4 linked regions of the Drosophila melanogaster genome follow. The protein of the gene in region 1 interacts with the protein of each later gene in a pairwise test. Each region holds a gene or a part of one and is shown in the gene's direction. Other genes may lie near its edges. The genes, in order: Cpr97Eb, Cpr100A, Had1 and Nrt.

Region 1 (5,358 bases):
CATAGTGATTTGGATCCCAGCTGAGAATTTTTAATGGTCAAACTTGATTTCGTCAGAATCTTTAAATAGGTTACCTGGATTCCAAGACTAATGCTTGACCAGCACCTGCTACATAGACTTCCTTCAGATCGGCATTGATAGCTATAGACCTGCTGGCATCCTGGGTAAATTTCACTCTCTTGATGTAAAAAGGATCAAAGGATCCCACGGCATTGTAGCCGGGAATTCCGTCCTTCCACTGACGGAAGAAACTCTGGAAGTTTTTGGTCAGACAGACATTAAAGTTGGGATCGCCCACGATACATGGGATTAGGAAGTCGGCTGAAAGTTGTACATTTAAGAATATTATTAACTTAACTCAACCAAAATATGTTGTATTAAATGTTTATTACGTTTCTCTGCCAGATATTTAGCTCCTTCGACTGCTGAAAGGAGTACGGCTACAATACTCAGGAACTTGGCAACTTTAATAAGCATCTTGATAATTTTATTCCAAAATGTGATGACTAGAACCGTTTTCTTTGAATGCTCTGATTGAAATGACGATTCTGTCTGGCCGCCGGTAATTTTATTCGAAATGGACCGCTCGAATGTATAACTTTTAAAATCATTTCTTTGTTTTGCCGATTTATATATATTTATTTTATTTATTTCGGTACAATTAGTAAGTAAACGAGTTTGGCCGCATTAGACTTGTTGTGGTCGTACAGGGTGCCCAAATCTTTCGATTCATCTGATGCGATACCCTAGCTCGAAAATGCATTAATTTTTATAATATTACTTAGCCTTTGCCTCGCCGGCGACTCCATTTCCAGTTGTAAAGTACTGTCATAATACATATATCTAGATACTTAGACATATATTCTATTCTATATATTCTATCTCACTTTCGCTGGAGCCGAACTGGTTCTACAAGATCATTAAGATGCGACGACTGTAATGCTGACGGATTTATTTAGTTTAGTAGATCTCTCTTAAGAATATATATTCCAATTAATTATAGGCGACAATTCTAGCAAACTATCTTTGCATATATGCATACTCAAGTGAGGAAAAGAAGCCAAGCGAATGTATTTATCTGCATGCAACCATGACCAAGGTCTGCGGTTCTTGGGTTAACGAACTTGTGGTTTTGACATAAGTACCTACACAGAAAACAACTAATTATGAATTATGTATCATGGGAATTTTCTTATTTTAAATACGCATACATTTTTATTCTTTGCCACAGTGAGACCTGAAAATCTGTGGTTCTGCATTATTATTTGATGAATATGCTATATGACTTGTTATTTGGTGTATTTTGCACAGTGTAGAATGTGATTTCAGATAGATGAATGCAAATCCCCCGAAATAAATGGAATAAATTCAGTATTATAATGTAGGTTGACAACTGTGTTTGTTTTGAATGTGGCTTGGGGATTTTGGCAATTTATTTTATATAAATTGGATCCTACTTAACTGGTTGTTTGTGAAATAAAAAGAAAACATCATATAAACTAATTTAAATTCTAGAAATCTCCAGAGATCTAGTCAAACCATCACATTTTTTTCTGCCTATCTATGACGTAATTTCAGCAACCTGTTTCTTTAGCCAAAGCATTGACTAGGTCAGTATGCCAGCATATAAGTTTTTGTATTGCTTTCTTTTCCTAGCTTCAAGTGTGAGTTTTGACAGGCTAAGAGAAATGGCTAAATAAGCTGTCAAATTGCATGTTGTGGATGCAGATTGCCATTGGCCAGTGCACTTAACTGGGAGCAAGGTGTTTGGACAGGTATTTGCAATCGATTAGCAGGTGGGGGGGAATTGACTTGCATAATTGGAATGCTTAGCAAGTGCAACACTTCCGCACCTCGCAGTACTGGCATTTTATTCTTTTCTGGATTGTAGATTTCAGTGATGCCAAAGGTACTTTTTAATTGTGTCTATGAAATAAACTTTAAAGATAACTAACACCTGATAAATCGATGTGAATTGTAAAAGTTTTTAGATGGCACTTGAAAACTATTTTACATCGCACTTTGTACCTCAAACTAGAGTGTGCCAATATGAGTAGGATATGGAGTGTAAGTGTACCAAGTGTACCTAGTTCTCATCACTGTTGCTGCTCTGATCTCATTGCGTATGCGTGAGTGTTGCGGTCTGGAAGCATAAATTGCTGGCCAAGAATTCGAGTAGACGACATTAACAACCTGATTGGAAATTGCTGCGCGTCGGCTTGCTGCTGGTAAGTGAATTACCTGTAGAGGTGAGTGAGTGGGCATATCGATCGGACGTAAGTACAGCTGGCCGACGACCGCTTTCGATTTCTATGCTGCATTCCAAGCCAAGTCGAATCGGTTCTCGGATCGGATCGGGAGCTCGGGCCTCGGTTAACGTATTCGTTTTCGTTTTCTGATCGCAGCTGATCGCCAGATCCAGAGACTTCGGCTTGAAGCTTTAGTTTCTGCCATGGTTTTTTCCCCTCTTGGCCCGCTTTTGCGAAATGTTGACTGCGGTATAAAAAGCGTTGCACGCCCTGATTTTCTTTTGAGTTTGTCGTTTCGATTCGCAGAGTCTCGAGTGCAAGTGCAGAACACATTTTCCATTTTCGCAGTGCATAACTACTTTGGGAGATTGGTGAAAACGGTTCGACATTGACAATTGGTTCTAAGCTTGGCAGCATGTTGAAATTGGTAAGATTCAGCAAGGTGGTTTATAGTGTTACATCTCCAAAGCTCGATATTCATATCGGTATGCAAAAGGTGTTTTCAGAATATGCGCAGTGAATTTTTAGAATGCAATTTAGCCAACCGGTTTGATCAGATCGGTGTCTATGATAAAGAGTAACTTAATTGGTGGTTCATTACTCAGCCATGTCCTTGAGTGAATGTTTGTGAACTGATAATCAGAGCAGCTAATTAAGGTATTTAGCCAAAAGTAAGGCAATAAAGGCAAAGTTCATGTATAATTGCTGACTTTACAGATGGGTGTGACCGAAATGGTGATTTAATGATACAAACGATTTGAGTCACTTTTTCACTCAACTCTTTGTTTTTCAATTTGCAGACCTTGAGCTTGGGTCTTCTGCTTCTGGCGGCCCACAGTGCGTATGCGCAACACCAGGACTACACCACACCGGTGCCCATTCTCAAGCAGATCGACAAGCACAACGACGATGGTTCCTACACATATGGATACGAAGCGGCCGATAAGAGCTTCAAGATCGAAACCAAGTACGCGAATGGAGAGGTCTATGGAAAGTACGGTTATGTGGATGACCAGGGAAAAGTGCGGGAAATAGAGTATGGAGCCAGTAAGCGTGGCTTTGAGCCCGCTGGCAGTCACATCAATGTGCCACCACCTACGCTGACCAACAGCAATCCCTATCCATTGGGACCCAACGAATTGGACGATGGCCAGTATCGTGAGGACCCCTCGGTGTACTACAAGGACCAGAAGTTCAATCGCCCCCTTTCACCGGCCAGTAAATTCAGTCTGAACGATTTCGGCCGCGGCCAGCAGCAGGCGTATGCCCCGCCACCTCGGCAGCCCGCCCCACAAACGCCCTACTACAATCCCACACCCCAATACTACAATCCCCCGGCTCCGCAGCCCCGTTACTACCAGCCTCCGGCCCAGAACTACTATAATCCCCAGCAGCAACAGCCATACAGGGGGTTGCCGGAGCAACATCATCCCTCCCTGCGAAATCTCAACCTCTACACCGGTTCCTATAGCATCGACTATACGGGCCGGAAGTAGGAAGGAGGACCTTTTGATGGGGGGATCACCTCTGAGTTGGGCCAGAGAGTCAGGGACTGAAGTGTCCGAGGACAATGTCAACTTGTTACTGCCAAATAAATCAGTCACTCCGCACACCCCACACATGTATCTATTACTGTACCTGTTTATATATGTTCTTGAATGTGTGTAATAAATCGAGTTTTGAAACCTGAAGCGTTTACAGAGAAAACGAAAGTGTTCTGAAATCATTAAATGTTTTGGTAATTGCTATGAAAATCAAAGGCAATTAGGGTGTTAAAGACAACTAGTAAACATTCAATCAATTTACGCTACCCTTTTCGCTGTCATTTACTGCTAAGTAATTATTCTCAGTGCTCAGAAGTATTTGAAATATCTGCTTTGGCATTCAATTTAGCCAACTACCAGGTTCCGCTTCAATTAAGCCGCCCCACAGCAGAAATTGTAGCAAAATCCAGCCGATTGAAATAAAGGCAAAGAGCCCAGCAAGTGGCCAATAATCGTTAGGCCATTACGTCAACACAGAATGATCGAGCCAAAACAACAAAAAACTACAAAAAAAAGGCAAGCATTGTGGCCGATTCAGATTGAAAACCAAAGTGGATTTGCTGTTGACTGGAATTTGGTGCACTTATGCAATGTGCTGGCCCCAAACCACTTTCAAATGCACTGCCACCAACGGCCGACCAGTTGGCCATAAGCTGTTGGCCATAAGTATGGTCTATGGTCTATGGTCTATGTACTTGGTGCTGGGTGGTGGCTCAACTGCCTTTGTCTTTTGGGTGTGGGGACTGCAGGTACTGGAAGAAGTGGCTTGAAGCTTGTTGGATAATTGGAAGTCACCCACGGATCAATGGCCAAACAATGAGCTTAAATCAGTGTGGTACTTAACTTTTCGTTAGCTTAAATAAGCTATTAATTAGGTAATTTAATTGAATTTGACTCAAATTTTCTGAAGGTTTTTCATTTTATTAAAACGGATGATTAGCAATTTATATATATGGTTACAGCAAACCCACAAAGTAGCTAATAAAGTAGCTGTTAAATAACTAAGAGCTATTCCCCGTTTAACTTTAAAGCCACTATTTATAGTTTGTCATATACATTCGGTTGTGTGAGCTATTCAAGTTCCTTTCCACTGTGCCAGTTGGCCAAGTCAGAAATTCAAAGCGTTTTGCTGGCGGCACCAACGAAGAATCAAGTCCAGACTGCACCTCTTAAAAAGCAGTGCACAAGCACACATTACAGGCTCTGAATTATTTGTATATGTATATATTTTCAGCATTTATATAATTCCGCAGAGCAAAACAGCGAAACTGGTCTGCTGCTGCTGGGGCGTTGGCATGACTCAAGAATTTCCTGCAAAACTGTCTACTTTGCCATGGCTGACTAGCGAACAGCTGCTACACTTACCACATTTTTTTGCAGCACCATTTTCTGAGGTGGCAAAAAGCCGTAGGTATGGAATTGTTATGATTCCCATTCAAAAATGCGTTGGCTGAGATGCCTCCGCGTTGGTCGAGTGTCGCATTGAAAATATGCTACTCCTTTGGCCCTGCATTCAATTGTATTGAATAGTTGGCTATCAATGGGGGAAATGTACAATTGTAAGC
Region 2 (5,349 bases), 3.8 Mb from region 1:
TTCAGAAAACGCTCGACTGCATCTTGAATTACAAATAATCGCAATTGTCTGAACATATATCGGCCTGCTCGTTTTCGCTTTGTTCGGGTGGTAGTTCCTAGTTTCCTGGTCTGCAGCTCTGACCCAGGCTCCTGGGCTCGGAATAGCAGCTGAAATAATTGAGAGACAACGCGGAATTACGACAGGACGGACGTGGATGAGGATGAGGAAAACGCTCTGCTTTGCATGATGCATCCCCTCCCTGAGGGCTCAACCCTCATTATCTGTTCGCCGATTGTGATTAACTCGGCCAAAGTGAAAGCCTGACAAATAAAACGCTGAATGGGCCCGTCAGCCATCTCTTTCTGACTGCTGGAGATGACGGCGGAATCACAACAGAAATAACAACAAAAATCAACCTCCTGGTGCCACTCCCTCCCTCGAAATTCTGGGTGGCAGTATCGTCGCATCAGGCAAACGCCTCAAAATCGAAATGGAAATCAAAAAGGCAGCAGCAGAGAGGCCAGCGAAGAAGGACGCTTCGGGAGTACAGTGGCCGCTCGAGCATGACGGATTTAGTTACTTAACTAGATGAAATATTTTGAATTAATTAATAATAAAGTTGGAAATATAGATAATGCTATAGGAATAAAGAGAAAAGGATCTTTAAATATTTTAGATATAACTGTAGTTCCATTTCTATAGATATTTTAAGTAGAGGAAATTCTAGAATTTCTAGTTTCCGAGTGATCACTGTAGCTAGACCGTTTCAACCCTCCGATGGGCACACCCTCAAGCTAATCCGGCCATGCTCAACTGCTCGGCCTCACCTTGGATCCGCTGCTCTTGCCATCGCCTCCTTGCCATGGCGTTCGCACATCAAGTATATATTCCGGAACTATATGCCATAGCTGCAGTTTCCTGTTGTTGTTTGTCAACTGATTTAATTTCCTCCTCCTTTTACCGCTTTCTGCTCTGATCACCGCCTCCTGCTGCGAGAGGGCGTTCTCCGCTTTTGGCCACACAAACAAGACCGCCGGATAATGACGATGGTAATGATGATGGCGATGTTCAGACGATGGCGACTTGCAAAAGGGCAAATAACGGTGTAAATGAGAGTGTTGCTACTCGAAATCTTCGACCCCATGCGGCTACTTTGTGTGCAAGAGTGTGCCGCTGTGTGGAAATCGCTCATTAAAATATGAAAACCCGATTTGCATACATAAATGCTCTAATTCTCTTTACGTTCAATTTTAGGGCTTAAGAAAAATTCTTTAAAATTAAAATGAATATCGATATAGATAATGTAATGTTAATTTGACTCTAGATATAAAACTTCAAATAACCAAAGTTGGAGATGCAGACCTGTTTGCATTGTTAGATCATAAATAATGCCAAAAGTTCTCTGCAAACATTACGCAAAGTGGGGGGCGTGGGAGTGGGCGTGTGGCATGTGGGTGGGCGGCCAACTGCTTTGGCCATAAACAAGCCCAAACAATGCCAGACATTTCAAACACAATAAATAATTGAAGCCAGCGCAGAGTCAACAAGTCAAACACATTGCGGTAACACTGGCGATTGTTGCCAAGCGCTTTTGGCCACACCACAAAGTCCAGCTTTTCAGTCCGATCTAGATATAAATCAACTTGGCCATGCACATGCAGAACGCAAATCCAGCTAAAAGGCAAACAAACGGCTTTACAACTTTACAACTTGAAGAGGGGAGTGAAAAGTTAACAACGCTCATTTGGCGAATTTCCCAAGATATGTTCGGATTTTCAGCAGAGGGCGACCGCCCAGTTATCCATCACAATCGACAGTTTCCACGGGCTTTTCACACTGGAAAAATCAAAAAGACAATAAAGACGAGGCTTTTGCCAATTTCTTCCACAGGGTGTTGTAGTTACTTTCTATTTCTGTTTTTTAGCTTAGGCCAACATTATTGGCATACAATACTATTATTCAATCTATTTTATATCCCGTTTTATTTGTATTTTCCATACATTTTCCTTTTTTCCTACTCTTAAACTAAACTATTGCCATTAAAATTGCATCATGCTCTGCAGAACTAATTGGTAATTCCTGGTTTCGATAGATCCCCTCCCAGATGAGGATACCTCTGCGCTGAGGCTGGATTACAGCTGAAAAACTTTTGAAATAATTAAAAAATATTTTCGTCTTGGGCTTGGGCCTGGTGCAGGCAGAAACGGTGGAACTAAGTGCATATAGCATATATTCGTATATATAGAAAGCAAAAGTTGGCGCTCCAAGCGAAAGAGATCGAAACTGGTAAAACGACTTGGCAACACGACCGCGATACCAATACTCGCCCAAAGTTGACTTATTGGAGCACTTAGCTCGATTCTTGTTATTGTTACGCCGACTTGGCCGACTTGTTGTTGCCGTTAACGTTAATAGTACCAACACAATTACATAGCTTGGAGTGCCTAGGCGGAGTCGATCGGCGATCCAGCGATCCAAGGTTCCCGCTCGGACTATAAAAAGCTTGGGCGGCACCGTTGCGGAAGGCAGTTAACTCCACAAATCCGTTGCCGTCGGTCCCATTTCCCTCTTAACCGACTTGTAAGCGTAAAGGCGCGTGTGAATCCCCCTCGAGAAGAAGATAAAATTGTGTGCAGTTTACGCTTGACAAGGATATTCCCCACACCAAAATGTTCAGATTTGTGAGTTGTGTTTTATTCAAGGCTGTTCGAACAATTTAAAAGCTATTAAGAGAAAAGTAATCAAACTGACGGACAAAAGTGTCAATTCAAACCAGGATATTCTAGAGTACACATTAAATAGTGAAAGTCTTACCTTATAATACGTTAAGTGATAATGACTCAGATTAAGGAATTGGCAGCACACAAATACTTGATTGTACAATAAATTTTGAATTCTTGACAGCTTGCACTGACCACCTTGGTGGCCCTGGCTTCCAGCCAGCACTATCACCAGGATCCCAAAACGGCGGCCATCATCAGTGAGCAGCGTTATCTGTCCGGAGATGGAAAGTTCGGAGCTGCCTATGAGCAGGAGGATGGCATCAACTTCAAGGAGGAGACGGATGCGGATGGAACACGTCATGGCAGCTACAGCTATCTGGATCCCACGGGCCAGAGGCGTACTATTTCGTACACAGCTGGCAAAAATGGGTAAGCACTTTCTATAGAACAAATACCCGAACTTGTATTAATTTGGTTTTTATTCCGAAATAGTTTCCAAGCTTCTGGAGATCACTTGCCCCAGGCACCACCTGCTCCACCACAGCCCGTGCCCACAGCGGGATATCAGCCACAGCAGCAGTACCAGCCGCAGCAGTACCAGGCTCCCGCTCCCCAGCCGCAGGCCAGTTTCCGCAGCAATGACTACGGAGATGATGGTTCCTACGATCCCCGCTACAACGATCCCTCTTTCGGACAGAACCAGCAGAGCTACCAGCAGCCCGCTGCCCAGCCGCAGTACCGTCCTGCTCCCCAGCCCGCCTACAACCCACAGCCCGTGCAGCCGCAGCAGCAGTACCAGCCTCAGTATCAGCAGCCCCAACCCCAGTATCAGCAGCCGCAACCCCAGCAGGCGTACTACACCACCACCACCCCCAACCCACACCGCTTTTCGCCACCCGGCAAACTGTCCCTGAACCGCACGCCCGATGGCTTCACCTACTCCTTCAACAAGGTATAAGCCCCACTGTCCTCCACTCAGACATTATGCATCTTCTTCATTAGTAGGGATCCTCTTTCTTCTTTTCCAACTTTCCCTATCACAACTAGAACCCCTACTCTTTTCTTGACTCCATCAAACTCTCGTGTGATATGTTTAAGAGCAATTGTATCGTACTTCCTATATGCGTACTGTTTGTTATTAATTTATAATCCTACACAGAGAAAATTAATCGCTGCTGCCCAATGGGTATTGCTGATTTAAATTACAAAATATATTCAAAATATCATTTGCATATTTTTGAAATATGAAAAAACTCAAGAAATGTCGGCCTTTTTCTCTGTGACTTTCCCATTAAACTTTAATCTTTCCATTTAAGTCTTCCCAAGAAAAGAGAAGTCAATAAACTTCGATGATGTTGAAAAATGATCAAAATTAATTTAGAAACTATGTTAATTTGGGCCTTGGGACGTCTGAGCAATTTGTACTATAATCGAGTAAAAACAATATATGAAGGAAACCAAGTTCGTGTCCTGCAGTCTTTTGTTTTTCGGCCAGTGGCCGCTTATTTAATTTCCAGCAGATTTATCTAAACACCTCGGGTGGTGAACGCCCACTAAATGCGGCATTACACAACCGACTTTCGTACGTGCAAAACAAGTTTCGAGTTTCTGTTACGATTCTATGCGGCCAACAAGGAAAGACCTCAAACGGGTTTCGCTCATTTGACAGTAATCTTGGCCAATTGTGCAAAATTCCGATGAAAATGAAATCAGCCTGGTGTGCTGGTGCTGGCTAAGCCGGAAAACCATGTGCAAGTGGGGGTGGCACTGGTTCATTAGGGGATTGGGGCTCTAAATCAATTCCCAATGGTATTGCGATCCGTCAGGCTCCAGTTGCGTTAGTGCAACTTAATAACATCCAAATGTTTTGCATATTTTATGCACCATCGAACGCAAGAATGCCGCCAGCTAATTTGCTATTTCCTCTCACCTGCTGAGTTCTCAGCATATGTGTGTTATAGTTTACAACTTAATTCGAGCACCGATTGCTATTCTATTATTTAATTGCACTTATACCTATATATTTACTTCGGAAATAATAAATTAATTCAGGGCATGCTGAAATAATTGATTTCATTCAATATCTCTCAAAATCTATTCTAATTTGACTATATTTTATTCATGATTCCATTTTTACTTATTTTTTAAATATTTTTAGTGCTAGCATTTTATTGTTGTCTTTATTTTTAGCATTTTTCCCTCTGTACTTTCCACATCCATTGGTTGGCATTCCTTTTCACCACCGACAACGATTACATTAACAATATTAGCAACACTTTTCAGAGCTTAGCTTTCAAGGTCAGATTTGTTGTGGACTCGAGGGTCCGGCTTGGAGTTTGGATTTTTGCTTTGCCTGGCTTTGGGGTCTGGCTTCTGTTGAAACTGTTTAGTCAATTAAGAAAATCAATTCGGTTTTGTTTTTTGCTACTTATTGCTTTTTATGATTTCTTCTCCGCGTGCCTTTGTGCACCCACTTTTGCGGCAATCGCAATCGATTGAATTGGCTTGCTCAATTGCGGATTTTCGTTCGGATTTGCGAAAGAGGTAAGAGTCGAGAATTTGCCTGGGATCGAAACAGGTGTCTCATGGGTGTGTTGCTTCCAAAGTGTTCTTAATACGTCTATTTTTATGAACAACACACGTT
Region 3 (5,886 bases), on another chromosome or scaffold:
GCTCCAGGCGATCGAGGAGTGGATCAAGACGATCCCGCAGCGGATCCAGTCGCTCGAGAAGTGGATCTAGTCGCTCGAGAAGTGGATCCAGGCGCTCTAGAAGTGGTTCTAGACGTTCTAGAAGCGGATCCAGGCGCTCTAGGAGCGGTTCCAAGCGCTCTAGAAGTGGATCCAGGCGCTCCAGGAGTGGATCCAGGCGCTCCAGGAGCGGATCTAGGCGCTCCAGGAGCGGATCGAGGCGTTCTAGAAGCGGATCCCGCTCCCGCAGCCGCTCCATTAGCGGTGGTTCGCGAAAGGGTTCCCGGTCTCGTTCCGGTAGTGCCGCATCCCAGACAGCTTCCAGGCGAAAAAGACGGGCCATCAGCGAATCTGATGGTAAATATTGGCTACAACTTTAAAAGCACCTTAATTTATGTATTATTTCAATGTAGACGACGGACCGAAGGTGACAAAGAAGCGTGTAAAAATCACGGACACAGACAATGAAGAGGATGAGCAGGACAAGGGCATAGGCAAAGAGAAATCACAAGACAAAATCACAGAGAGCTCTGACGATGAGAACACACCAATTTCAAATGAACCAGAGTAAGACTTCGTTTCCTTCAGGCGAATAGATTTTAACCCCACATTTACTGCCATTGCAGGAACAGTAACTTTATTTCCGACTTTGATGCTATGCTCATGAGAAAGAAGGAAGAGAAGCGAGTGCGTCGGCGCAAGCGCGATATTGATCTGATCAACGACAACGATGATCTGATCGATCAGCTTATAGTCAGTATGAAGAACGCTTCGGACGACGACCGTCAGCTGAACATGATAGGTCAGCCGGCCACAAAGAAGATTTCCATGCTGAAGCAAGTGATGTCACAGCTGATCAAGAAGCACTTGCAGCTGGCCTTCTTGGAGCACAATATACTCAATGTACTTACAGATTGGCTAGCGCCCCTGCCAAACAAAAGTCTGCCATGTCTTCAGATACGCGAGAGTATTCTTAAACTGTTATCAGATGTAAGTGGCATGCTTAGATTATTATATATTATATTATGGCTTCTAATGTGTGGATTCTCCATCTTTAGTTTCCTACCATTGAAAAGGGACTTTTGAAACAGTCGGGCATTGGCAAGGCTGTGATGTACTTGTACAAACACCCCCAGGAGACCAAGTCGAATCGCGATCGCGCTGGTCGCCTGATTTCCGAATGGGCTCGGCCGATATTCAACGTTAGCTGCAACTTCTCAGCGATGAGCAAGGAGGAGCGTCAGGAGCGCGATTTGGCGCAGATGTCACGTCATCGGCATAAGAGTCCGGATACAGAGCCTTCCTCCAGCAGCAAAGCACCTACCTTAAATCAGACCCTCTCCAACGAGGACAAGATGCTGCGTCCCGGAGATCCCGGTTGGGTGGCTCGCGCTCGTGTTCCCATGCCCTCCAACAAGGACTACGTCATCCGCCCAAAGTCAACCGTCGAGGGTGAAGTCTCCGCGGTAAGTAGTCCAGCATAAAGCCCTGGCTTTCGCCTCCACTTATTCATTGATTCCATTGAATCTCATTTCAGTCGACAAAACGCAAGCCAAACCGCTACGAGAAGCACATGAAACGTTTCCTGGACTCAAAGCGACTGAAGGAGAGCCGCAGGGCCGTTGAGATATCGATAGAGGGTCGAAAGATGGCACTATAAGCAGCATTCTAGCTAACTTTAAATTAAATAATAGAACGAAATTAAAAAAAAAAATGTATATTTTTGAATATAACTAAACGCGAGAAACGCTGGCCTTTTGAATTTTTCGGGTCCATTTGAGGCATTGAAAACGATAAGCTAGAATCCAAAGTCAAAAGGAAAGAGATGGGAGATCCATGCAGGCCGCCATCTTATCAGGAAGCTAAATTAGCTACTAAATTAGTTGTAAATATGCACATGTGTAATTGAATTAATACGAATTCACCGATTAGATATTACAGCTTTCAGTTGGGCTGCAAAGTAGACTTAATTTAATTATTAGCTGCACTTTGCATTATTACATTAAACAAATAAAATAGTTAAGCAACAAAATAGCAATACAAATTTCACTTTTAACACACTAATCAGATTCTCTTCGTCTTTCCATACTGGCTTAAACAAAAAACGAGCAATTAAACCATTAATTAAAGATGGAAACGTTAATCCTTCAAGAGGATTACTTTTGTATACTCTTTCAAAGGTTATTATATTTTTAGTCTGGTTGCTTTCATATTAAGTTAAAAACACGAAGAAACCTTATGATTTGTATATTCATTGCAAATGAGAAAAGCAAGATCATGTTTTCCATTCTAATCTTAAGACGTCGCGTTTAATTTATTATGTGGAAAAAACCAAAGATTGGAGAAACTAAAAGTTAAATTTGTACCATTCCAGGTATATCTCGCACAAGAAATGAAGTGATAAATATGTCAGTAGAGATTAAACAAACTAAACTAAACAAACCAAATAGATCTTTGCATTTACAACTCACAAACATTTTTTAAGAATATTCTATAGACTATGGTTGCAATTTTGAACAGGCAGAGCATTGAAAAAACGTATATTTAGAATAGTTTTACAACGAAACGCTCGAATCAGATTGATAATACTTGACGTAGTTATTGCCATTTGCTCTACAAACATACATATTTACAATATTTTATTGCCTTATATTTAAGACAGCGAAAGCTTAAAAAGCTTAGTAAACAATTCGCGGGGTTATTTTTGTGCCGGTAGCAAATACATATGTACATACATACATAAATGCACGGACAATCACAAAGATACCCGCCGTAGTAGCTAAACTAACATTATAAAATGGCATTATTAATAAAAGTCAAATTAAGGGCATCTTGGCACAGTTTTGTCGTGTGACACCCGCTAGGAAATTGGTAGCTCCTTGAGAACTTTTGATGGACTATCTCACACACACAACCAGCCCCCCTTCCACCCACGCGAGTGGAAAATACCGGTTGGAAAAGGTACAGGTACCCGTCCTGCGTACCTAGCCAAGGTAAAAGCTATCAAAATGAAGTGTACCAATGCTGGCTTTTATAAGTTTAATTAACTGAGTTGCTTGCAGGGTTTCTTTTAATTAATTATGATTATAAATCAATTTCTGGACAATCATTTACATTTTCCTTGGCTTGCTAGCTAGCATATAGTATTTAACAAAAAATACATAATTTCAACAACTTTAGGGCCTGCATTCAAAGCCTAAATGCACTAAATGCAAGGTACGCGGCAGCTCAATGATGTGTATACAGCGCTGTGGGCGTGGCAGCATCGTCCAATTGCCCAACGGGGCGGCATTGTTATCGCACGGCCCACTATCTCCTCCGAAATCTCCAGCGACACCCATCAAGCGCGTCCGCAAACACCCCACAAACACTTGGGCTCGGGTCTCGTTCTCGTTTTTGGGTTCACCTCTGGCGTGGTTATCGCCGAATATTAAACCGGTTGCGCTGCCGTCTAATTGCTCAAACGCATGTACGCTGTGCCAAGTGGCGGTCGACAGCAATAGCTCCTCCATAGCTCCTTCTTAAATCCAACTCCACCGAAGTAAATCGGCAAAAGTAAATAAACAAAGATGTCGGCAAAGAACGAGAAAGTTGGCATTGTGGGCAGGTGAGTTGGAGCAGGAAGCTGTTATTCGCTAGGATATCCAGGTGCTGACTGGCGGTGTTACCATTCCAGCGGTCTAATTGGTCGCTCCTGGTCCATGCTGTTCGCCTCGGTGGGCTACCAGGTGGTGCTGTACGACATCCTGCCCGAGCAGGTGTCCACCGCTCTGACTGCCACGCAGAAGGAGCTGCAGGATCTGGAGGCCAAGGGCCTGCTACGCGGCAAACTGACCGCCGCCCAGCAATTCGCCTGCATCTCCGGCACCAACGACCTCAAGGAGCTGGTCAAGGGCGCCATCTTCGTCCAGGAGTGCATCCCCGAGCGTCTCGATCTGAAAAAGGCGCTCTACAAGCAGTTGGACGCCGTCGTCGGACCCAACACCATCCTCTCCAGCTCCACCAGCACTTTTCTGCCCTCCCTCTTCAGCGCGGATCTGAAAAACAAGGCCAATGTGAGTTGAATTCTTGAGATTAGTGAGCCATAGTATATCTCCACCTTGAGCTGATTACTTGGTAAAAAGAATAGTTAATCGTAATACATACAAACAGCTTATTGTTTTAAGAAACATTCTTAGCTGCAATTGCTTTAATTTAAAGCTGCGCCGTCCTTGTGCCCAATTTGATTCGCATTTATTTGGATTTCGATGTGATCGCCGCAATGACTAAGCCCAATTACGCTTGATTTCGTGAACAGGTTTTGGTCTCGCATCCCGTCAACCCACCGTACTACGTGCCTCTGGTCGAGATCGTGCCTGCGCCGTGGACGAAACCGGAATGGGTGAAGAAGACCCGTGCCCTGATGGAGGAGATTGGCCAGAAACCAGTTACGCTGTCGCGGGAGATCGAGGGCTTCGCCCTCAACCGCATCCAGTATGCCATCCTGAACGAGACATGGCGTTTGGTCGAGGCCGGCATCCTGAATGTCAAGGACATCGATAGCGTGATGAGCAATGGACTGGGACCGCGCTACGCCTTCCTGGGTCCCCTGGAGACGGCCCATCTGAATGCCGAGGGCATGGCCAACTATTTCGAACGCTACTCGAACACCATCTATGCGGTTAGCGAGACAATGGGACCGACACCGAAAATGGAGGGCCCCGTCGCCGTCGAGGTGGCCAAGCAGCTGGGCGAGATGGTGCCGCTGGATCAGTTGGCCCAACGCCGCAACTACCGCGACAACTGCCTCACCCAGTTGAGCATTCTCAAGAACAAGCTCAACCAGTAAACTCATTATTATCTTGCTGCTGCGTTTTTTTTTTTTTGTTTTTTCTTCATTGTTGTGATATGCTAGCGCCACATACGTTAAATATACGGAAATTGCTTAACTGATAATCTCTTTTTATTGAATTATTCCTCGCTGGTCTTTCAAGACAGCTGCGAAAAGCGAAATTAATAGGGAGTGTGCTTTGCAAGCTACTAGTTCTAGGTATTACATCAATGGACAAATCCTTAAAACGTAGGATACTTGTGGTCAAACGGCTTCACCTGCCTCTTAAATGCTATTTTTATTCTCTTCTGATATGCTTGGCTTACTATTAAATCTCTTCTTTAATCAACTCCACTTCAGTGGAATTTCAAAAACATAGGGAAATGAGAAAGGGATTTCAAGCACTATGAGTTCGCAAGGTAACTTAGTGGGTTAGTGAGTAGTTAACAAAGATAAATTAACTAATTAGTTCGTTCAGTTCGAGTGGAAATTAAATATAAAGTACTGGCTCCACTGCTAATCCGTTTCGAAACGAAAACTAATTTGCTAACGTTTAGTATGGAGTGCAGACTGCATATCAGTTCGCTTTATCTTGTGACGTCGGCCAAAAAAAAAAAAAAGGAAAAACAAATGGAACAAACAAAAATATATGGGGGAGATAGCCAAGCCGTTTTCACATTGTCGGTTTATCTGCAAGGTTAAAAACTTGACCTCAGACATCACATTCGAATTCACTTTCAGGCGACATTGCGCCACCGCCCACGGGCCAAGGAAGTGCTCCCCCATTCCCCATTCCTACGCAATGCACGCTCTCTATCCTCTAGCCGGAACCGCTCTTCTTGCAGAAGCTCGGCCCCCTAATGCTGGGCGTCGAATAGGAGGTATTTGACAGGGATCCCGATCCTGCGGTCATGGCCATTGGCTTCAGGGATCTGCGCTGCTGGGTGCGCATTTGTGGCAGTGGTGTGCTCGTGCAGGATATGTTTTGGGCGGGTTTGGTCCTCGATGAGATGGGCGTTTCGGGTACACGCGGATGGAACGGATTCAGGTAGGTGGAA
Region 4 (6,463 bases), on another chromosome or scaffold:
AGAAATCCCCACCCACTCAACTCGACTCTTTGCCAGACGCACCGAGTTGCCTTTGAGGTGTTTAACCTCAGTTGCGAGGAACACTTAAAAGCGTTTCATGTTTTATCTGGGCAGGCGAGTCGAGTTCGGGGGACTGATTCCATTAAGGGGCGCCACAACACCACCTTAACACTTGCTGCGCCTGTTGTTCGCCACATGTCCCGCATCCCAGTGCCCAGAGCCCAGAGCCCAGAGTTCCATCCTCATCCCTGGAGCACCGGCCTCGCCCCTCGTTTTGGGTAAATAAAAGAGTAACTTTTGTGGTTGCCCTCAGACCAAGTGGGTGGTTCAGTGGTTGAGTAGTGGGTAATACACGAAAGTTTCGGTTTTTTATGTCCGAACATAATTTGCAACGGAGCTTAAACAAGACGCGCATTTTATGTTTAACTTCCTTGTTCGCTATTTGTAGTCGACTTTGCGGCGTTTATGGGATGGAAAGTGGGCGGGGCACAAGTTCCGCACCCCCAAAAACAAAAAGCCATATAATTGAGCTCAAACATTAAGCGGCTTTTCGAGGTTTTGCTTGGCATATTGAAACCGAATCATTGCTTGATTGAATTACATATCGTGGGGTTAGTGGTGCAGAGAACAGAACTCCCTCGAATTTCTTGAAGTCTTCGTTTTCGGTTTCCACACGTTTCCGGTTCAAATTTAAATTAAACTTGTTAATTATTCCATCCGAAGAACAACCCACACAAGACAGGAACATGTGTTCACTACTCCACTTCCTTTCCTTGGGCGTCCCACATTTTGCGGGTTTCCTCGTTACCATTTGCGATCATGATAATGATCCGATGCGATCATTTTGATCCTTCCCCTTCGACGTGACGGGCATGCGTCAAACTCAAATACGTATGTAACTCGAGCCAACCTTCACTTTTATTTTCTAGTTTCCTACCATATTTATTCCTTTTTTTCGGTAGCAGATGTCGCCTAACATCATGTCTAATGAAATGCTTCAGTAGCTCCACAATGAAATAGGGAACCCTCATAGTTCGGGGCGTGAAAGTTGTTGACATGTGGGTAGGAATTCCGTGGGGTAATACCTTTGGAAGAACAGGGGAATCGACTTCTAATACATTTCTAGCACGTGTCGTCATGGCTTCTGTTCTAATAATTCAACCGACACAAGTTCAATATAAATATTAAACTATGTACATACATAGGTATACAATGAAAATATTGAAATATTGAAAAATATTTACCAAACACTTTAGTTAAATGGGTAGCCTAATTGTCTGAAGACATATCTCCTACATTAGTTGATTACTCATAAATCATAAGCGTAACATTTTTATAAAATAGAGCACATACTATATAGTAATTGAAAGTATAATACTGGGGGAGTGCCCTTTATTAAATAAACTGCAACAACGTATGTTTTTCTCATAACTGTGGATGAATCATTCTGTTGATTTGCGTATCGCTCAAAATAAATGCATTAAAATCTTCTTTATAGTTTTCATTGCGCAAAAGTTGATTGAAAGAATCATTATATTTTGTCTTTCTTACCAAATAAGTGAATTTTCTCAGGGGTAGGGATATGAAACCCTATGCGAAAAGGGGTGTTGGGTTGGAGGTAGCCAAGGGTAAGGGTTTGTGCTGTAATGACGCATCAGGACGTGGAATTTCCCTACATATGCCAGATGTTCCCATCGGCATAAACTGCGCTTCAACACTTGCCGCCAGTTGATAAGCATTTGAAAACGAGTTTCAAAAACCGAAATCAAAACCTTTACTCAAACAAAAGTGCCATATCAACAAACTTCTTTCCCTTCCCCTTGCCAGCTTCCCTCTCTTTTTAAGAAAAATTAATAACAAAGAAATATAGGGAGATCGGCATCTACTTCTATTTGAAGCATGTACAACTCAGAAATTTTTAATAACTTTAAGTTTTATATTTATAAAGAGCTGTAGACTACGTAATACCTCTACTTTGGGTTTTGGGTGTTGACTTGAACAATTTATAACAATTTTACCCTATGTTCTCCTACATGTTCTATAAAGTATCTGATCTGATCATAATATCTGAGGTGTCTTGTTTCACTAACAATAAACGCTTTACCAAAACTACAATACCTTTTTCATAAAATCACCATCGAACATTTTGCACTTACTGTACAGGAAAACAAAGCCGCTACTTTTACTGCTGCTTTCCAGCCACCCCTATGATTTATAAATTTACAATGCCGGCTGCTTCCAGTTCCAGTGCACAGTGGTCCAGTTCGAACTAAATCATAAACATGAATTATGATCATGTCTAATAAGTTTAATTAAATTACTTATAAAATATTACAACAATTCGTTGTGTAGGTGTTTTCAATGCTAATCACTGTTGCTTGACATAATTTGTATACTATTATAAACTTACAAGTTATATCTTAAATTATGTTTTTTCTTTTTTTCAAGAGAGAAACATGTTCTCGCCGAAAACACGTTCCACTTCCAGTTCCCCGAATAAAAACAAATCCAAGAAAATTAACATTAACAGTTGCTGTTAAGACTCTGTTAACCGTTTCGAAGCCGCATGAATTGCATGACATCGAAACGGCGTCAGTCAGTTTTGTTCTGTTTTGGAAGCCGCACGCGTTTTCCCTCGCTCCGGTTGTGCTCGCTTTCGCATCGCACACACACACACACTCTCGCCGCACAGACGCGACCAAAAGAAAACAAAATCAAATTCGGCGCAAACAAGGAATAACTTTTTATATTCCTATTGTGCATCGTATGTTGTATTAAGTGCAAGAAATATATTTACACAAATCTAACAAAAACACCGCAACTACTTTTGTGCATTTTGTTTTGCTCTGTGCCGAAGGAGCGGAGAAAAGAAAAAACCGCAACAAATCAAAAAATCTGTGCGTTTGTTATACACACCTAAGTGTCCTGCAGGAAGGACATCGGGTTCATTTACGCCACCCGCTGTTTTCAAGGACCAACGGATTATTCCCAATTGCCACATTTCAACAAGTTCGAAAAAAGCAACACACATTTTACACAGTGTTTGCGAGAATTGAAAAAGGTAAGATTACAAATTCGTGTGAAGGACCTCGGGGATTTGTAGAAGAGGAAGAGCAGTTGAAAACAAATCGATGAATTGTAAATGAAGTCAAATTTGTCTGCCAACTTTAATAATTTAACAAGTGAATATGGACACTTCAAACTTGAAAGATTAAAATGTGATTATAATTGAATAAAACAATTTACATGCATATTTATTTAGTTTTATACAAATGTAAAGATTTTGGCCAAAAAGTTTATTGAAAAACGCTAATGCCGTAGCAATTGAAATCTGAGTTATTTGTGAAAAGTAGAAGATAAAAGATATAAGAGCTTAATTTGAAAACTTTTAAAATATGTCGGTATCCGATCTTGACGGCTCTAAATTAATTTATAATCCTCCACAATCCATAATTACCGAGGAAACATCTTACCAAAACAATTTAAATGGCGTCTCGAAAAACATTTCATTCCGAGCTCTTAATAAGATTAATGGGGCTTCACGATTCATTGATATAATCCCTCCGTAACGAAGCACACCCACCCCATCGTCATCATCATCTTACGCGTCTTGAGGTCTAATGGCTCGTGTCAATGATCAGACGGACTCTTTCCCTCAATAATTCCCATTTTCCATCCTTTCTAATGGCTTGTGTCGCGGCTCCGTATGAAAAACATAACCATTTGACATAAATCACGGCCCTGACAAATCCTTTTGAACATTTCATAAACATAATGTGTGTTAATCCTCAGATATTTCAATCCATCAACATCCAGAGTTTGGTGGATGGAGTTGCCCCAAAAATAGCGCGACCCCTTTGGTATCATTTGTATGCACAGTCAGACGCCGGCTTGAATAAATCCCCAAATAGTCATTCCGTAAACAAATGCAAAGGAAATTGTTGAAGGGATACGGATACCGGGAAAAAGGGCAATAATTCAATGATGAATTAATAGGCGCATGGAAATGATCACGAATTCCCGGGATCTTCAGAGAAAGTTCGAGTTGGCAGCTGCTGCTCTTCGATTCGCTCCAGAAAAAGAAAAAAAGACTTCCGGGGAATCGAGCAACTAAAAAGTGAGAAAAGCATCAACAAAGCCAAACAGAGGCACAACAAATGGGGTAGGAAAACGTGAAGATGCCACGCTGACGCAACATTTGCATTCGGAAAGAGATTTATGGAGGCAACTCCCCCGCCCATTGACTTTTCGCTCCAACTTCCCTCATTGTTTTGCCAAGTTTTCAAAAGACAAGAGCCGACATGATGATGTTGATGTGTGTGCCTCAGTATCTCATTTTCCCAATTTACCCCAAAATGTGTGTAATCAAAAGTTTTCGTCTTTACAATTCAATTTTAAATTGTTGTTCCTATGTAAGTGTTGCCTGCTTTCCACTCGAAAAGTAAACAACAATTAAGGAAAAACACAACAAGGCAAATGCAACAAGAATACAAAGCACGATTTTCAACACTTTTTCTCGCTCTCAATGATAAACAAAACTCGGCTATTTACATCTGGAGTTCATGGTCAAACAGTTTAAACAAAAATGGAGTTTTCATTTAGGAAATTGTAAATCCATCAGCAATAAGAACTTGAGAGTCAAGTGCTGCGATACGATCCCAAAACTCGAATCCCCTCAAGAGCTGCTGACAATTGACTAATGAGGGTTACAAGAAACCCCAGCGCAAATCATAAATATTTGTTGTTGACAATTCCAATGGCCCTGCAAGGAGCCTGGCTTCAAGGAATTCTCAGGGTTCTTATCGCGGAGGAAATCTTCGCTTATCTGCCTGAAAAAGGCAACGTGGTGCTAGAAAATATTGTGCAATAAAATGGAATGATATAGTGGAAGGACAGCCATGAGTTGTGAGGAAGGCAGTGTATGCAGACTTAACAGATACCCAGTACTTCCATTTAAGAAACAACTAATTGCATACATAATATTGGTTAAATGCACCAGGAACTTCGTGGTTCAATGCACTCAGTTAATGTTATAACATTCTCCAACAAATATTCTTGAATATAAGATATAAGATGTGTCTACCTCATCAAATCCAAGAGTACGCGGTATGCACAAACATTGAACCAACCAACGCAACTCAGGGCTATCCTATCCCATATCTTCAAGAGTTGTTTGCCCCTCGAGAGTAATTACAAATTCATAAAAATGGCCTGTTTGAAGTGGAAATCTCGTTCCGATTTTGTTTGCTCTTCCCACTCCAAACTCCATTTATTCCATTTTTGTTGTGCCAATCCCCTTGTCCTGGAACTAGGCGCCTTCCGCTGATCCTTTGAGGTTTGTGGGACTCTGTGCCCCTTTACCAGTTTCCGCTCTCTACCTGCCCCAGGAGATTGTTATCCATCAAAATAAAATGAGGGGAGACGACTGTGAATTCGCATCGCACGTGTATAAACCTTTGAGTCTTGCGGTTTCTGGTTTCTGCCCCTTTTGTACTGGAAATAAATTCAGTCTTATATTTCTTATGAATTATTATAGTATGTCCTCAAGTAGTTCTTAACAAACAAGTTTGTATATTTTTAAAGGTTTTCAACATTTGTTGCAACTTGCGATCTATCTTACCTATGTTTCTTCTTTATTTTTTCTAAGTGTTTCTCATGCTCCAGTGAACTTCACTCCCCCTTCATCTTTCCGACCCCTTCCGCATTGTTCTTTGAACACGTGTCAGCTTTGATCATTAATCACCCTTCTTTTGATTGCCTGGCGAATATGTGGCTCATCATTTTCCATTCTCCCACTTGGCCAACTTCAATAAATTGCCATGAAATTAAGCAACTTGAACAAAAATCCACAACACGGCATGATAAATCGTTAGATCAGAATATTTAAAGTTAATTTTAAAATGACCAGAGGCCATGTTATAAAGCAGGAGAAGGAGGAGGAGGAGACCCAATCCCCACCAGAAGTCCATTAGCATGGCGTCCGGATGACAAATTGACTTCGTTAGAAGTTTGCGATTTCCCTCGATGTCTGCCTCTTTTCCGACGTGGAAATTGGAGGCGCAAATTGAAAGATTATTATGCCTGAGGTTATTGAATCTAAATCGCTGATTGCGGGTGCTCCGAGTTGGGAAACGATGCACTGAAAAACGTAGGAGATTCAGGGGCTTAAAGTCCTTATAGTTACAAATGTCAAGTATCATGTTATTGCAAATGTATATTAAATAATGTTACGTTTTTTCGTGTGTATCCTTCCTAAAATTGCATTGCTGTTGAGTCTGTTTGTTGTTTTGACTGTCTAGACAAATTTCCTCGCACATATAATTATAAACAGGCTTAAGCGTTTCTTATCAGTAGATCTGAATGTCCGTGCTGTGGAGTGTTCTGAAATTGTTGGAATATCCTGTTTAATTGAGCATAAACAGCACCCGCACACAAAAACACTGAAAGTGCATGTCAAAATAGA

What was found.
Region 2: the proteins of Cpr97Eb (region 1) and Cpr100A interact in a two-hybrid assay, tested with the Drosophila melanogaster proteins (one large-scale study listed by BioGRID).
Region 3: the proteins of Cpr97Eb (region 1) and Had1 interact in a two-hybrid assay, tested with the Drosophila melanogaster proteins (one large-scale study listed by BioGRID).
Region 4: the proteins of Cpr97Eb (region 1) and Nrt interact in a two-hybrid assay, tested with the Drosophila melanogaster proteins (one large-scale study listed by BioGRID).

The regions. Positions count from the first base shown.
Region 1 is NT_033777.3:27,088,298-27,093,655, reverse strand, and holds Cpr97Eb (cuticular protein 97Eb), read left to right. Parts: upstream 1-2,525; 5' UTR 2,526-2,664; coding exon 2,665-2,676; intron 2,677-3,049; coding exon 3,050-3,745; 3' UTR 3,746-3,952; downstream 3,953-5,358. Other genes in the region: CG14258 (uncharacterized protein), read right to left, coding at 1-20, 75-321, 393-477.
Region 2 is NT_033777.3:30,865,021-30,870,369, forward strand, and holds Cpr100A (cuticular protein 100A), read left to right. Parts: upstream 1-2,500; 5' UTR 2,501-2,651; coding exon 2,652-2,663; intron 2,664-2,886; coding exon 2,887-3,134; intron 3,135-3,197; coding exon 3,198-3,663; 3' UTR 3,664-4,164; downstream 4,165-5,349.
Region 3 is NC_004354.4:16,305,977-16,311,862, reverse strand, and holds Had1 (beta hydroxy acid dehydrogenase 1), read left to right. Parts: upstream 1-3,195; 5' UTR 3,196-3,587; coding exon 3,588-3,625; exon of another isoform or gene 3,626-3,694; coding exon 3,695-4,073; intron 4,074-4,164; exon of another isoform or gene 4,165-4,315; coding exon 4,316-4,846; 3' UTR 4,847-4,951; downstream 4,952-5,886. Other genes in the region: CG9915 (uncharacterized protein), read left to right, coding at 1-375, 432-585, 645-1,008, 1,077-1,484, 1,556-1,678; CG3679 (uncharacterized protein), read right to left, coding at 5,649-5,886.
Region 4 is NT_037436.4:16,763,480-16,769,942, forward strand, and holds the start of Nrt (neurotactin), read left to right. Parts: upstream 1-2,592; 5' UTR 2,593-3,061; intron 3,062-6,463. UniProt on the Drosophila melanogaster protein: May mediate or modulate cell adhesion between embryonic cells during development.